Linked DNA regions of Xenopus tropicalis. The protein of the gene in region 1 interacts with the protein of each later gene in a pairwise test. Links are inferred from orthologs where the notes say so. Each region holds a gene or a part of one and is shown on either strand. Other genes may lie near its edges.

The links. The genes of interacting proteins can lie anywhere in the genome.
Region 2: the proteins of ralbp1 (region 1) and cep57 interact in binary tests that used the Homo sapiens proteins (3 or more experiments, as listed by UniProt). The two-hybrid records come from large-scale screens. The link is inferred for Xenopus tropicalis from reciprocal best matches to the Homo sapiens genes RALBP1 and CEP57.
Region 3: the proteins of ralbp1 (region 1) and reps1 interact in binary tests that used the Homo sapiens proteins (3 or more experiments, as listed by UniProt). The link is inferred for Xenopus tropicalis from reciprocal best matches to the Homo sapiens genes RALBP1 and REPS1.

The regions. Positions count from the first base shown.
Region 1 is NC_030682.2:104,585,318-104,589,715, forward strand, and holds the start of ralbp1 (ralA-binding protein 1), read left to right. Parts: upstream 1-1,496; 5' UTR 1,497-1,729; intron 1,730-4,398. UniProt on the Homo sapiens protein: Multifunctional protein that functions as a downstream effector of RALA and RALB. As a GTPase-activating protein/GAP can inactivate CDC42 and RAC1 by stimulating their GTPase activity.
Region 2 is NC_030678.2:164,700,299-164,703,949, reverse strand, and holds part of cep57 (centrosomal protein of 57 kDa), read right to left. Parts: intron 3,280-3,651; coding exon 3,202-3,279; intron 2,601-3,201; coding exon 2,499-2,600; intron 2,388-2,498; coding exon 2,307-2,387; intron 1,132-2,306; coding exon 905-1,131; intron 1-904. UniProt on the Homo sapiens protein: Centrosomal protein which may be required for microtubule attachment to centrosomes. May act by forming ring-like structures around microtubules. Mediates nuclear translocation and mitogenic activity of the internalized growth factor FGF2, but that of FGF1.
Region 3 is NC_030681.2:62,705,330-62,708,980, forward strand, and holds part of reps1 (ralBP1-associated Eps domain-containing protein 1), read right to left. Parts: intron 756-3,651; coding exon 637-755; intron 1-636. UniProt on the Homo sapiens protein: May coordinate the cellular actions of activated EGF receptors and Ral-GTPases.

The sequences.
Region 1 (4,398 bases):
TATGGCTTTGTATCTGATATTTAAACCAGTGGATGCACAGTTTGCCACAAGGACATAAAGGAGTAATTTGAATAATCTCTGCCTATAATATCCTTACATGAAGGTTGCAAATTCTCATTCTTAGGGGCAGATTTACTAATCCACGAATCCGAATCCCGAAAGGGAAAAAATCTCATTGGAAACAAAAATTTAGCGACTTTTTCGTTGCCGTCGTGATTTTTTGTATTTGCCGCGACTTTATTGTATGTTGTGCGTCTTTTTTGTCGCCGTCACAATTTTTTCATATTGAGCGATAGTATACGGCGGAAAAACCAATCCGATTTTTTCGCAATGGTGACGAAAAAGTAGCGGAAAATATACGAAAAAATTTCGGGACCTATACCAAAAAGTCGCAACGGCGATGAAAAAGTCGCAAAAAATACCGATCATTACGAAAAAACGCATTTGGACCGTTCGTGGATTAGTAAATCTCCCCCTTAGTCTTGAGGCAAAGGGACATGGGTGCACTTGTAGCTCTTTAATAGATGGGCAAAAGACCCAGAATCCCTACTCATTCAATCTAATGCTACCTGTGGGTCTAGGCAGTCAGCTTTTCTTATCTCCAGATCCTTGCATATACTGTGCAGCTATTAAAAAAAAGTAAAACTTGAATTATACCACTGCCTTTAAAGCAGGGGTGGGCAAAGTTTTTGACTCGGGGGCCACATTTACTCACAGGCGGGCCAGGCCGGACCAACGTCCTCCCCCCAGCTCCCCCCCCCCCACCAGCATCCTCCATCTCTCCGACCTGCAGCTCCCTCCATCGTTCCGCTGCGTCTGTTCCCCGGCTCCCAGCTGCATCCTTTTTTATGGTTGCGCCCCCTGCGCACAAGCACGCCTAAAGCTCAACCAATCAGGGCCCATAAATTATTTAAAGGGACCCGGAGTCTGCGGGCCGGATTAAAAAGGCAAACGGGCCGGATGTGGCCCGCGGGCCGTAGTTTGCCCACCCCTGCTTTAAAGGATGAGTATACTGTCTACTTTTTCATCCTATTTATTTAATTAATAGGGCTGGTGCAGAACATTTCTTTGCATATTGTATGTTTTTGTCATTTCTTGGATTATACAGGGGAAAGTTTGAAATTGATTGTAGTCACATTCTACTTCCTAGAGTCCAATCAAAACAAATCACCCACGTCCACTCAGTACCTGTCCTCTGTATAAACAAACCCTTCCCCTGGCTGCAGCCTGTTAGGCTTTCATATAATAATCCGCTCATTATTCAGAGGTCACATTAATACACTGCTCATTTTCAGAAGAAACTTTGTTCAGCACCAATCCTAATCCACTGTAATATAAATGGATGTTTACTGCCCCCTTTATGGCAATGCTGTCTGCTGAATAAATTGTGTGACTACTATAAAGCAGTATCTCTGCTTTCCAGCTCCTTTTATACCTCCCCATTTTAAACTCTGGCACAGATATATAAAAAGAACCCCGCAGGGACATCATGTACTTTCAGTACGCCCCTTCGGTGCGTGACAGCAGCGCCCTTTCCTTTTACGCTTTTGCCAGTCCCAACATGGCCGCCTGGTTCACGTCGTTCTGACGCGCCTCTCAGGTTTCGGAGTCATTGTGCTGTTTCCTGCCCCGCACTGAGCTGAGGAGGAAGAGGAAGCGAGGCGCATAGTGACAGAGGGGGTGGACACAGGTGAGCGGAGATTTGTTTCGTCTGTACCGAAATAGTCATGTGCGTGCGTATGTTTTATAGCGGAATATTTATTGTGTGGAAATGTGTGTTCTCTCTATAGCCACACAGGCGAAAAATGTAATGAGTGTGAATTGATTCTCGTATATCACTGTCCTATGGAGCCACTGCTGGAAGACTTTGCAGTAAATCGCAGATCCCAGTGTGCAGCAGTACGACAAAGTCGGTGTCGTTGTTAGCATTTTGCCGTTCCTGAATGTATGTGATATGGCTCAGGGCATCGCCTTTAGTTTCAGGCACTATTCCTGCTCACTGTCTGCCAATGAATCTGTAAATCTGGGTGATGGAGGTGCTGCTCAGTTAGAGGTGTCGGTCACCAGAAAATCAGCTGTTATTATTATTATGGTGCAGGCGGTGCTACTCTGTGTGCTGATTTGCTGCAATTCAGATTTTTCGGTTGGCAGGAGAGGTTGTGGATTTGTCCCAAATCCTAGTTTAGTTTAAAGTTGATACTGTGGTTTTATTCAGTTTTTTTTCTCATTTTTAATACAGTGATCCAATTCAGTTTCAGTATTTGGGTTATCTCTACATTATGGATTTGGTTCATCCCTAGTTTTTGCCATTAAGGTAAATCTGCTTCTTGTCAAGATTTGAAGATTGAGGATTTAGACAGTGTTGTGACTTAAAGGGGAACTGTAGATTTCAAACCAAAATTTGTAAAAGAGCCTTACATAGAAACCTCCCAATATACCTGTCTATTAATCTATTAATCTATTCATTCCAAAAGTATGAATAATTGTCTTTTTTTTATCTACTGGAATCTAGCTGCAAAACAGTTTCTGCATCATTTGAAATCCTGCCAGAGGAGAAGGGACTAAAACAGGGGTGGGCAAACTTTTTAGCTCAGGGGCCACATTAATTAACATACGGGCCGGACCAGGCCGGGACAGCGTTACGCCCGGGGCTGCCATAAAAAATTATGGGGCCTCTCAGCTCCCCCCCAGCGACCCGCTGCTTCCTCCATCCCATCCTTCTGTTCCCCGGCTCCCCAGTGCATTCTTTTATATGGTTGCGCCCCGTGCGTGCTGACGCTGTGCGCACGCACGGGGCGCAACCAATCAGAGCCCGTCATTCTTTTAAGGGGGCCGGAGACGGCGGGCCGGATTAAAAGGGCTGATGGGCCGGATGTGGCCCGCGGGCCATAGTTTGCCCACCCCTGGACTAAAACATTGTAATTGCAAATGTAACAATATCCCCACAGTTTACAGACCGCAAGCAGGAACTACATATCCCACAATGCACTGCACTGTGATGTTCCATTCCTAATTACCATCACATGTGCAGGGGATTGTGGGATTTGGAGGATGCAGGCTGAAGGCAAGATGAGGACAGTCTCCTACTGTTAAATTTTATTTGAGTCTCAAAGTAGCAAGATCAGCAGGAGAACAGGGGGATTGGCATAGGTAGCTGTTCTAAACCATATTATTACATAATTGTAATAATATGTGTTGGGGTAGAGTTACCCTTTAAAAAAACTATAATGAAAATGTTTTTATTATGTCCTCACAATCTTCCCTTTATGTTCACCGCCCACAGGTCTGAGGTTGCATATAGGCATTATAACTAAATATGATTCTTTAGGGTGTGTCTTTCTGGTGCAATTAGTTTGTTTTGCATTGGCATGCAAACTATGCCAGGAAGAGAATAAGCTCTATTTTATATATCGGCTAATAAAATAATATACCATTTCTCCCCGTGTCAGCCGCTGTCCCTCTCGGGGAGAGATGTAGTTCCATTGGGCCTGTTGATAGAATTACAATTGGATATGTCTTCTGTGTAAACAGATTTTCTGTATAGTGTACCCACTTTTCCAGTGTGTTTTTCTCTGTATATAAAAAGATCTGTGCAAGGTTTTCTTGTTCAAGCAACAATTTTTATTGGGCAGTATGCCCCTTTATTAAATATGAATTTTAGTGAATAGGGCTTGTGCTATACAGGTATGGGACCGGTTATCCAGAATGCTTGGGACCTGGGTTTTCCGCATAAGGGATTTTTCCGTAATTTAGATCTCCATAACTTAAGTCTGCTAAAAAACATTTAAATATTGTATAAACCCAATAGGATTGTTTTGCCTCCAGTGCACTTGTTTTGCCTCATTGCACTTATAGTAGAACCCCCATTTTACTTTTTTTTTAAGGGACCAGAAAAAAATGATGTAAAATCCGGGAAATGTATTATTTATTGGTGGGACCACAGAAAACATGAGGGGAGGCAACTCCATACTGGGAAGCACAGTGAGTTTCTCGCTGTTGGTTGTGAAAATAACTTTCTGCAATCTTAGTTGCTAATCATGGCTTCTGCCATTAACTGTAGAGTTTTTCCGGCACTCTAGAAAATGTTTTCTTCATCAGAGAACAGAATTATTTCTCCCTAGATATGTTTTCTTATGTCCCTCAGAAAGTTAAAAAAAGACAACTTGTATTGTGCATCATCTTGCAACAATTTTTTTCCCCGCTTTTCCGCAACATTCTAAAGAAGTTCAAAGGCTATTAAAGCAGGGTCCAAAAATAGTCTGCAGTGTCCACCTAGACCTGAGAGAATCTTATGTGGTAAACATGCTTAAAGTGCTGCATGTTAAGTTTCTGGATCCTTTTTTGTCTCTTGGGTGTCACTAAACGAAAAGAAAAATTAGTGTTGACATATTCAGAGTG
Region 2 (3,651 bases), on another chromosome or scaffold:
AGCTTTACCATACCTGAGTAAACAGCCCTAGAAGCTCCATCTGTTTGTTTAAGATAGCAGCTGCCATTTTTTTTTTAAATAAGATTTTATTTTGAACAAACATTACTAATAATTATCAGCTGACATTTTAGCTTGGTCTCAGTAGCTTTCGTGCTGCAGCTCTAGCTGCTGGTAGCTCAGATTACAGCACAGTTTGAAGGGTGAGAGAGAAGTGTGCAGACTTCGGCCCCAGGAATGAAGGATTTTTCTAAGAGAGGAAGTCAGATACCCTAAGAACAGGTTTACAAAAAAGGAGACAAGAAATCCTGTTTTTTTTTTAAAAGAGGACTCAGTGCAGCGTTTCTGCGAGCTTTCTGATAAAGCTTACTTTACCTTTCATTCTCCTTTAAGGGACTCTGCAAGTCTTGGCAGGAAATTTTAGGGACTTGCATCTAGGTCTCTTCCTGTTGGGAGAGGATCTCACCAGTATGCTGATGTGGTCCTCACCCAAGGGGATTTTCTCACCTGTCTGATAAGAGATCTGCCCAATATTTGGCCAATATGCTGCTCATGCAAATGCACGATTTTTTTTTTTTTTTTTTTTTAGCAAAGTGTCTAACCAAGCTTTTATGATAACAGGGATGATTGCTGTGCAAGTTCTGAGCTACCTCAACAGATCCAGCATCATGTCATTAACCTCACAAACCTTTTACAAACTCACTACAAAGGGCCCATCTCCCAGAGAGCCCTGTGGGTCCCATGGATTCTGGTTATCAGAATCCTCTTTTGCCAAGCACAGACGAGCATATTCCCCCTGCAAGGGCTCTAGCCTTTTTTAAATTAACCATTTAAACTGAGGAAAGGGATTCATCATAATGCAGATGATGTGCTTAAAGTTCAATATTGAAGCTCTGAAACAACTTACAAACTCATCTGCCCAAACTCATCCTCCAGTGTGAGCAAAACCTCTGAAAGGTCTTGGTAAGAGCGAGAAGATAAAACTGGGTCTGGTGTCCACCTTACTGCACTCTCTTTCCTTTCAACAGGCTGATCGCTCACAACTCGGTCATTGCACAAGAGTTTATTATGTTGCTTCATCAGGTGCAAGACATGCTGGACATTGGCTCTCACGGAATAGCTAGTGCCTGTGGACTAGAACCAAAAATATCAAAATAAACACATGTGCAAAAAGACAATAGACACATTCTATATGCTTATAGAGAGCTCTATAATCTAGTGCGGCACTGTCCAACTGCCAGCATCTGGCCCACAGAATGTAGGAGCAGTGCTAGCATTGTGTCACTGTACAGTACAAACTGTTTATTTGTTGAAGTGGTCATGACCAGTTGCAGGTTTCCCTGTCGCATCACCTACTCTTCCTGCCCTGCTCTATCCTGCCTCTGTGTGCCATACTCTGCCTGCCCTAAGCTGCCTGTGTGTGTGATACTCTGCCTGCCCTATGCTGCCTGTGTGTGCCATACTCTGCCTGCCCTACCCTGCCTGTGTGTGCCATACACTGCCTGCCCTACCCTGCCTGTGTGTGCCATACCCTCCCTGCTCTATCCTGCCTGTGTGTGCCATACTCTGCCAGCCCTACCCTGCCTGTGTGCCATACCCTCCCTGCTCTATCCTGCCTGTGTGTGCCATATTCTGCCTGCCCTACCCTGCCTGTGTGTGCCATATTCTGCCTGCCCTACCCTGCCTGTGTGTGCCATACTCTGCCTGCCCTACCCTGCCTGTGTGTGCCATACCCTGCCTGCCCTATGCTGCTCGTCAGAGATGAATCTGGCAGGGCTTTGTTCTGGGAGTTTATTAGCATCTGGAAATAGTTGTCATGGGATCCCTAGGTGTGTAATTATGTGCCTTTCTGTGGTACCCACAGGGGAGGAGTGGCTAAGAGTGTGGCTTAATATGACATATTAATCTTCTTTCACGTATGAGTGATAAGTGATATCCCTGCAGTAAGTACAAACTATTTGTGTTTTAGCTGCGCAACCACCATTATTGTGGGTATGGTTTTAAAAGCTCTTGTGATAACATGGGTGTGGTTTGAAGTGGGTGCAGTGTAAAAAAAGGGGGTAGTCAAAACTGGCTTCCATTATCGGCCCTCCACCACATTGGCCAGAAAACGTCCAACCCTCAGTACCACATTTATTGCCACTCAGTGTGTCCAGTTTCAGCCTTGCTGAGTAACCATTGTCAAATGTACAGCTCTCTTAAAAGGTAGCTTGGGTTACGTAAGCACATGTAAAAGGGCATCAAATAGGAAATGGATTCCCTAAAAGAAAATTTATCGAAAAAATTAAGACTAAGGTTTTAATACCTACCTTTCCAGCAACAAAGGGCACATCTCCTAAGCTCAGGCGATAGTGGGGCTGTAAGTGTGAAACACTGGAAAAGGTGGGTTTCTGGAATAGAAGAAAGAACACAGCATATAAATAAAGAGCAAAGAGGGTGCACTAGAACCAAACTCTAGGTAGGCCCACAAAGAATACTAGCAGCACGGAAGGACCAAATACCTTTTCCAGCTGCAGTGACTTTATGTTTTTTGCCTTCACTTGTTTTGATGGAGGTGTTAAGGAACGGAGCAAAATTCTGTTGGTTTCCAACCCTGTTTGGAGCTGGAGGAAAGAAAATATTTTAGATAAAAATGTATTTATTTATACAAAAACGGAAATAAACTAAATTAGGCACCTCCCTGTAGAATGTGCTGAGAGTAACTTATGACAAAACTGGTCCGGTTATGCCAAGTTCCATTGCAAATGGCATGGTATGTATTAATCATCTAATCATTTGTATTTCATATTACCAACTTATTAATGCACTGTTAGGCAACTAAATATTTATTATTTATTAGTATTGTTTTGAAACAAGTTCCATTCACTGTTTTGATAAGCTTTCTTATTGCAATCACATTAATGTTGTTAAGGCAATAGCATAAAAAACCTGATTTTGGTACCAAATCCCCCCACTGCCTGCTGTGCTTGTCCACCTATAATCAGGTAACTGACGATTGGAAGTATGGCAGTCACTTGCACTACACATATATAGCTATTGCAGGCAAAAGAGCAGAGTGATTTTACATCATTTGGCTTACCCTTGAGCTACTTAAATTTACACATTCCATATACAGTTGCCTTTATACTATAACAACAACATACAGTAATGAGATCACCAAGTTTCAGACAGGATCGCAAGCTGAAGAGCAAACAGTATTATTACCTGGGCTGCTTTTTCCTGCACAAGTTTGCGCTGATGCTCCTCCTCTCTCAGTTTCTGTTCGATTTCACTGATTTTTTTCTAAAAAAGCAAAATGGTGTCATGTGACTTTAAGGAATACGGTCATAGGAAAACATGTATTTTAAAAAAACCTATCAGTTATTAGAGCTTCTCCAGCAGAATCCTGCGTTGTAATCTGTTTTTCCCATGGGGCTAGCCATATTCTTCATTTCCCAGAGTGCCACAGCCCTGTGACCTGTGCTCTGATAAACTTCAGTCACACTTTACTGCTGCGCTGCAAGTTGGAGTGATATTCCCCCCCCCACCCCCCCAGCAGCCGATCAGCAGAACAATGGGAAGGGAGCAAGATAGCAGCTCCCAGTAGGTATCATAGGAGTAGGAGAAACAATAGGTTAGCTCAGGGGTAGGGAACCTATGGCTCGGGAGCCAGAT
Region 3 (3,651 bases), on another chromosome or scaffold:
TTTATGCAGGAAGATGAGATTCTGATTTTGAATGACAATTAGGCAAAATGCAGCCTTTGGTGAGCTTCCTAGAGGATATATTAGAGCTTAGTTTTTGAAGATAACCAGAAATCCTGTCTCTCTGCATGCAGGATTTTTTTTTGCTGAAGTCTTTGTTTGCACTGGAATCAGTTATCTAAATGAGCTTTAATACATCTGGTAGGAAAGGGACTCCACCTAGAAAGAGCAAGCAGATTTTTTTTTTCTATATTTAATTTTGAAATCTGACATGGGGCTAGACATATTTCTTAGTTTCCCAGGTGGTCCTCAGTCATATGACTGCTCTCATAAACTTCAGTCTCTTTTTACTGCTGCACTGCAAATTGGAGTGCTATCACCCTCCTTCCATTTTCCTCCATGAGCAGAACAATGGGAAGGTAGAAAGACTCATGACTACTTCAGTAGGAGAAACAATAGCTGATCTAAGAGCAGTTCTATTGTGTAGTGCTGGCTCCTTTTGAAAACCAAAACCAGGCGAAATGCACTGAGATGGAAACCTTCACAACAATATTATAACAGTAATAAAAATGTTACCATAAAACTCCTGACAGAATCCCTTTAAAGATTATCCATTCACAACCTGCAATTTTTACTTACCTCACTGCTCTGGTTCATCTCAGGCCATGTCTGGTTCAAGGATGGCATTGAAGGCGATTTGCTAGGAGGAGCTTCTGCTGGTGAACTTGTAAACCCTACATCAGTAGTTTGATCCCCAGCTTAGATTGAGAAGTGGAAAAAAGGATGAAAAACTTAATAACTTAGTAATGGTAACTGGCATAAGATGTTTAACTTAATTTAGCTGCAGCAGTGTTGTAAGGTAAACAATTGAAAAATATATATAAATAAGCTTATATATATTAGAAATTCACTGAATGCTGGATTTGGGTGAATTTAAGCCTTTTTCAACAGGACTCAGCTAAACCGAACCTGAACCCTTTAAATCACATTATTTAACATGCTCTGAGCAAAAGGTTTTTTATCCCTTCCAATATACCTTACCTTTGTGTAAGATTTAAATGATATCACTACTGAGATTTACTGCTCCCTGCATTGTTCACGTATCAGATTTAGGCTGTAAACCCCTGAATTTTTTAAACATGTAACTCCCTGTACTGTTCAGACCTTTTATTTCCTGCATTGTTCACCCCCTGTATGGAAACACATGCAACAAAAGTCAGGCAGAGTATGACACACAGGCAGCAAAGGGCAGGCAGAGTATGGCACACACAGGTTGGTAGGGTAAGTATGTCCCATACTCTGTCTGCCATATGCTGGCTGTGTGTGCCATACTCTACCTGCCCTACCCTGCCTGTGTGTGCCATACTCTGCCTGCCCCACCCTGCCTGTGTGCCATACTCTCTCTGCCCTATGCTGTGTATGGCACACGATATGGCACCCGATATCATCATCCATAGAAATAGCTTGAAAAGACTCGAAGAAAACCACACAATGCGGAAATACGCTAGAAAACGCCTTAGCATGGATTTTTCAAGCGTAGGCCGAAATACGCCAGTATTTGCAAAGCAAGCTATTCCTATGAATACGCAAAGGCAGCTGCCAGACCTAGCGGAAATATGCAGCGTTTTTTGCTATTTCGCACTATTAGCACCATGGAAACGGGATTTGCTTACGTCACCAGTACTAGGCTGAAAAACCCCATAGTCAGGGGCTGTGTGGGTTGTGCGGCGTTTTTAGGGTGAGAAAAAACGCAGCGGAAAAACGCCACGTGTGGCATCAGCCTAACTGAATAATATCCCGTTACAGCATGAGAGACCAAAAATGCACAGCATATTCTAGATGGGGCCTTACTGTCTTTATCATAGTATCAAATGCTCTGGCAAAATCCAAATAGATTACATCTACTGCAACCCCACTGCCCAGCTTCTTACTAACCTCATCATAAAAAGCATCAGACCATCAAATTGGTCTGATATGACCTGCCCTTCATAATGCCACACTGATTACTGCGCATAATGCCATTTATCAGTTTTCCTCCAATCCACAGGACCATATCAGATGAAAGTCTGAAAATATCAGAAACAGAGGCCATGCTAAAACTGAACCTAGCTTTCTCAGTACCCGAGAGTCTTTTCCATTTGGTCCTGGTGCTCATATCCCAGATGTCTAATTCTGGACATGAAGACTATTGATCAGAGACTCTCTATAACTGTTGGAATAGATTCCATCTTGAGTCGTTCGTATCTTACAAACTTTTTCAGTGGGTGAAGGCTGAGCACAGGACAGAACCTGCCATCTTCTTTTGGTACTATAAACAGGTTTGAGTAAAATCCAAAGTGGGCACCTGAGATTTTACTTTTTTAGTAGATCATGGGTGATGAAGAATATGCCTTTCTGCTTGGCAGGGTACAAAGCTATGGAAGATGGCACAAATCTGTCTTCCGGAGGCTTTTTGGTGAAGGGAATACCATAGGTGGATTTTTTTTTTTTTTTTTTAAAGTCCTGACATTTGACTGAAGTAGGTTTGTGGGGTAGGTTTAGATTAGCTCTGTCAAGTGGACTTGAATCTCCTATTGGAATGTGTCTGAGGCTGGGATCTAGAGTTTCTCTGCTGTCTGCTATTTGCAGTGCGTGGTGGTAATTCTATCCTTATTAGGTTGTTTTCCTCTGTGGCAAAAAAGGCATCTTTGCTGCTACCAACTTAATAACTTATTTGTTTTAGTTCTGGGCTAAAGAGTTATGACCCTTTAAGTGAAGTAAGTTCTTACTTTGATGCTGTCTCACATGACCACTGGCATAAACAAAGTGCTCTGCATGATGTGATGGACGCTGCTGAATCTATGACTGAATGTTTAGAAACATCAACAGCTGCTTTTGCTAAGGACAGGGCTGATATAATCTTTTCTAACACAGATGTAAATTGTTCAGGTGATGTGTAAGGGTGTGTCAAAAACTCTTGACACCAGTATTTATCCATTTTTACTACTGCAGCAGATGCAATTTCTGGCCTCAGAATGGCTGCTGTGTTTTGAAAGTCTCACTTAAGAGCAGAATATATTTTTTTTATCCATTGGTTCTTGGATCTACCTTTGGAATTTTATGCCAATGTTTGTAATCGTGGAATGTTGGGTATATATTGAAAAATTTGTGAAGAATGCTGGATTTTTTTGTGGTTACTGCCATTCCACATTCAACAATATTGGCAACTGAGTTTTTTTGGAAGAGTTGTCTAACCCTTTATCAGCTTTAGACATGGTTATTTGTTCTTCCTCAAAGGTGGAAAAATATCTCTTAAGATACTTTTTTATTTTCTCAGGTTGTCTGGAAGGTTCTTCTAAACCACAAGGCTGTGAGTCGAAGGAAATGTTCTCTGAATCTATAGAGCTGAACTCATCTAATAAATTGCAAGAGAAATACAAGTGAAGGTGAAGGTGAATGTTCATGCTTCTTCTTGCTATGTCTGAAAGAAATAATCCACTTGTTTTACAGATGTATAAGTTGTAAATTGAATCCATGACATGAACTTTGAGAGGTCAGGAGATGCTGTTTACGAGCTTGCTATTCGAAGCTCCTTGCCTACCTTTTCCAAGTTTTACATGCTAGATGTTCTGGCCTCTTCAATAGCAGCCTTTGGCGGGAACGTGCTACAAGCTG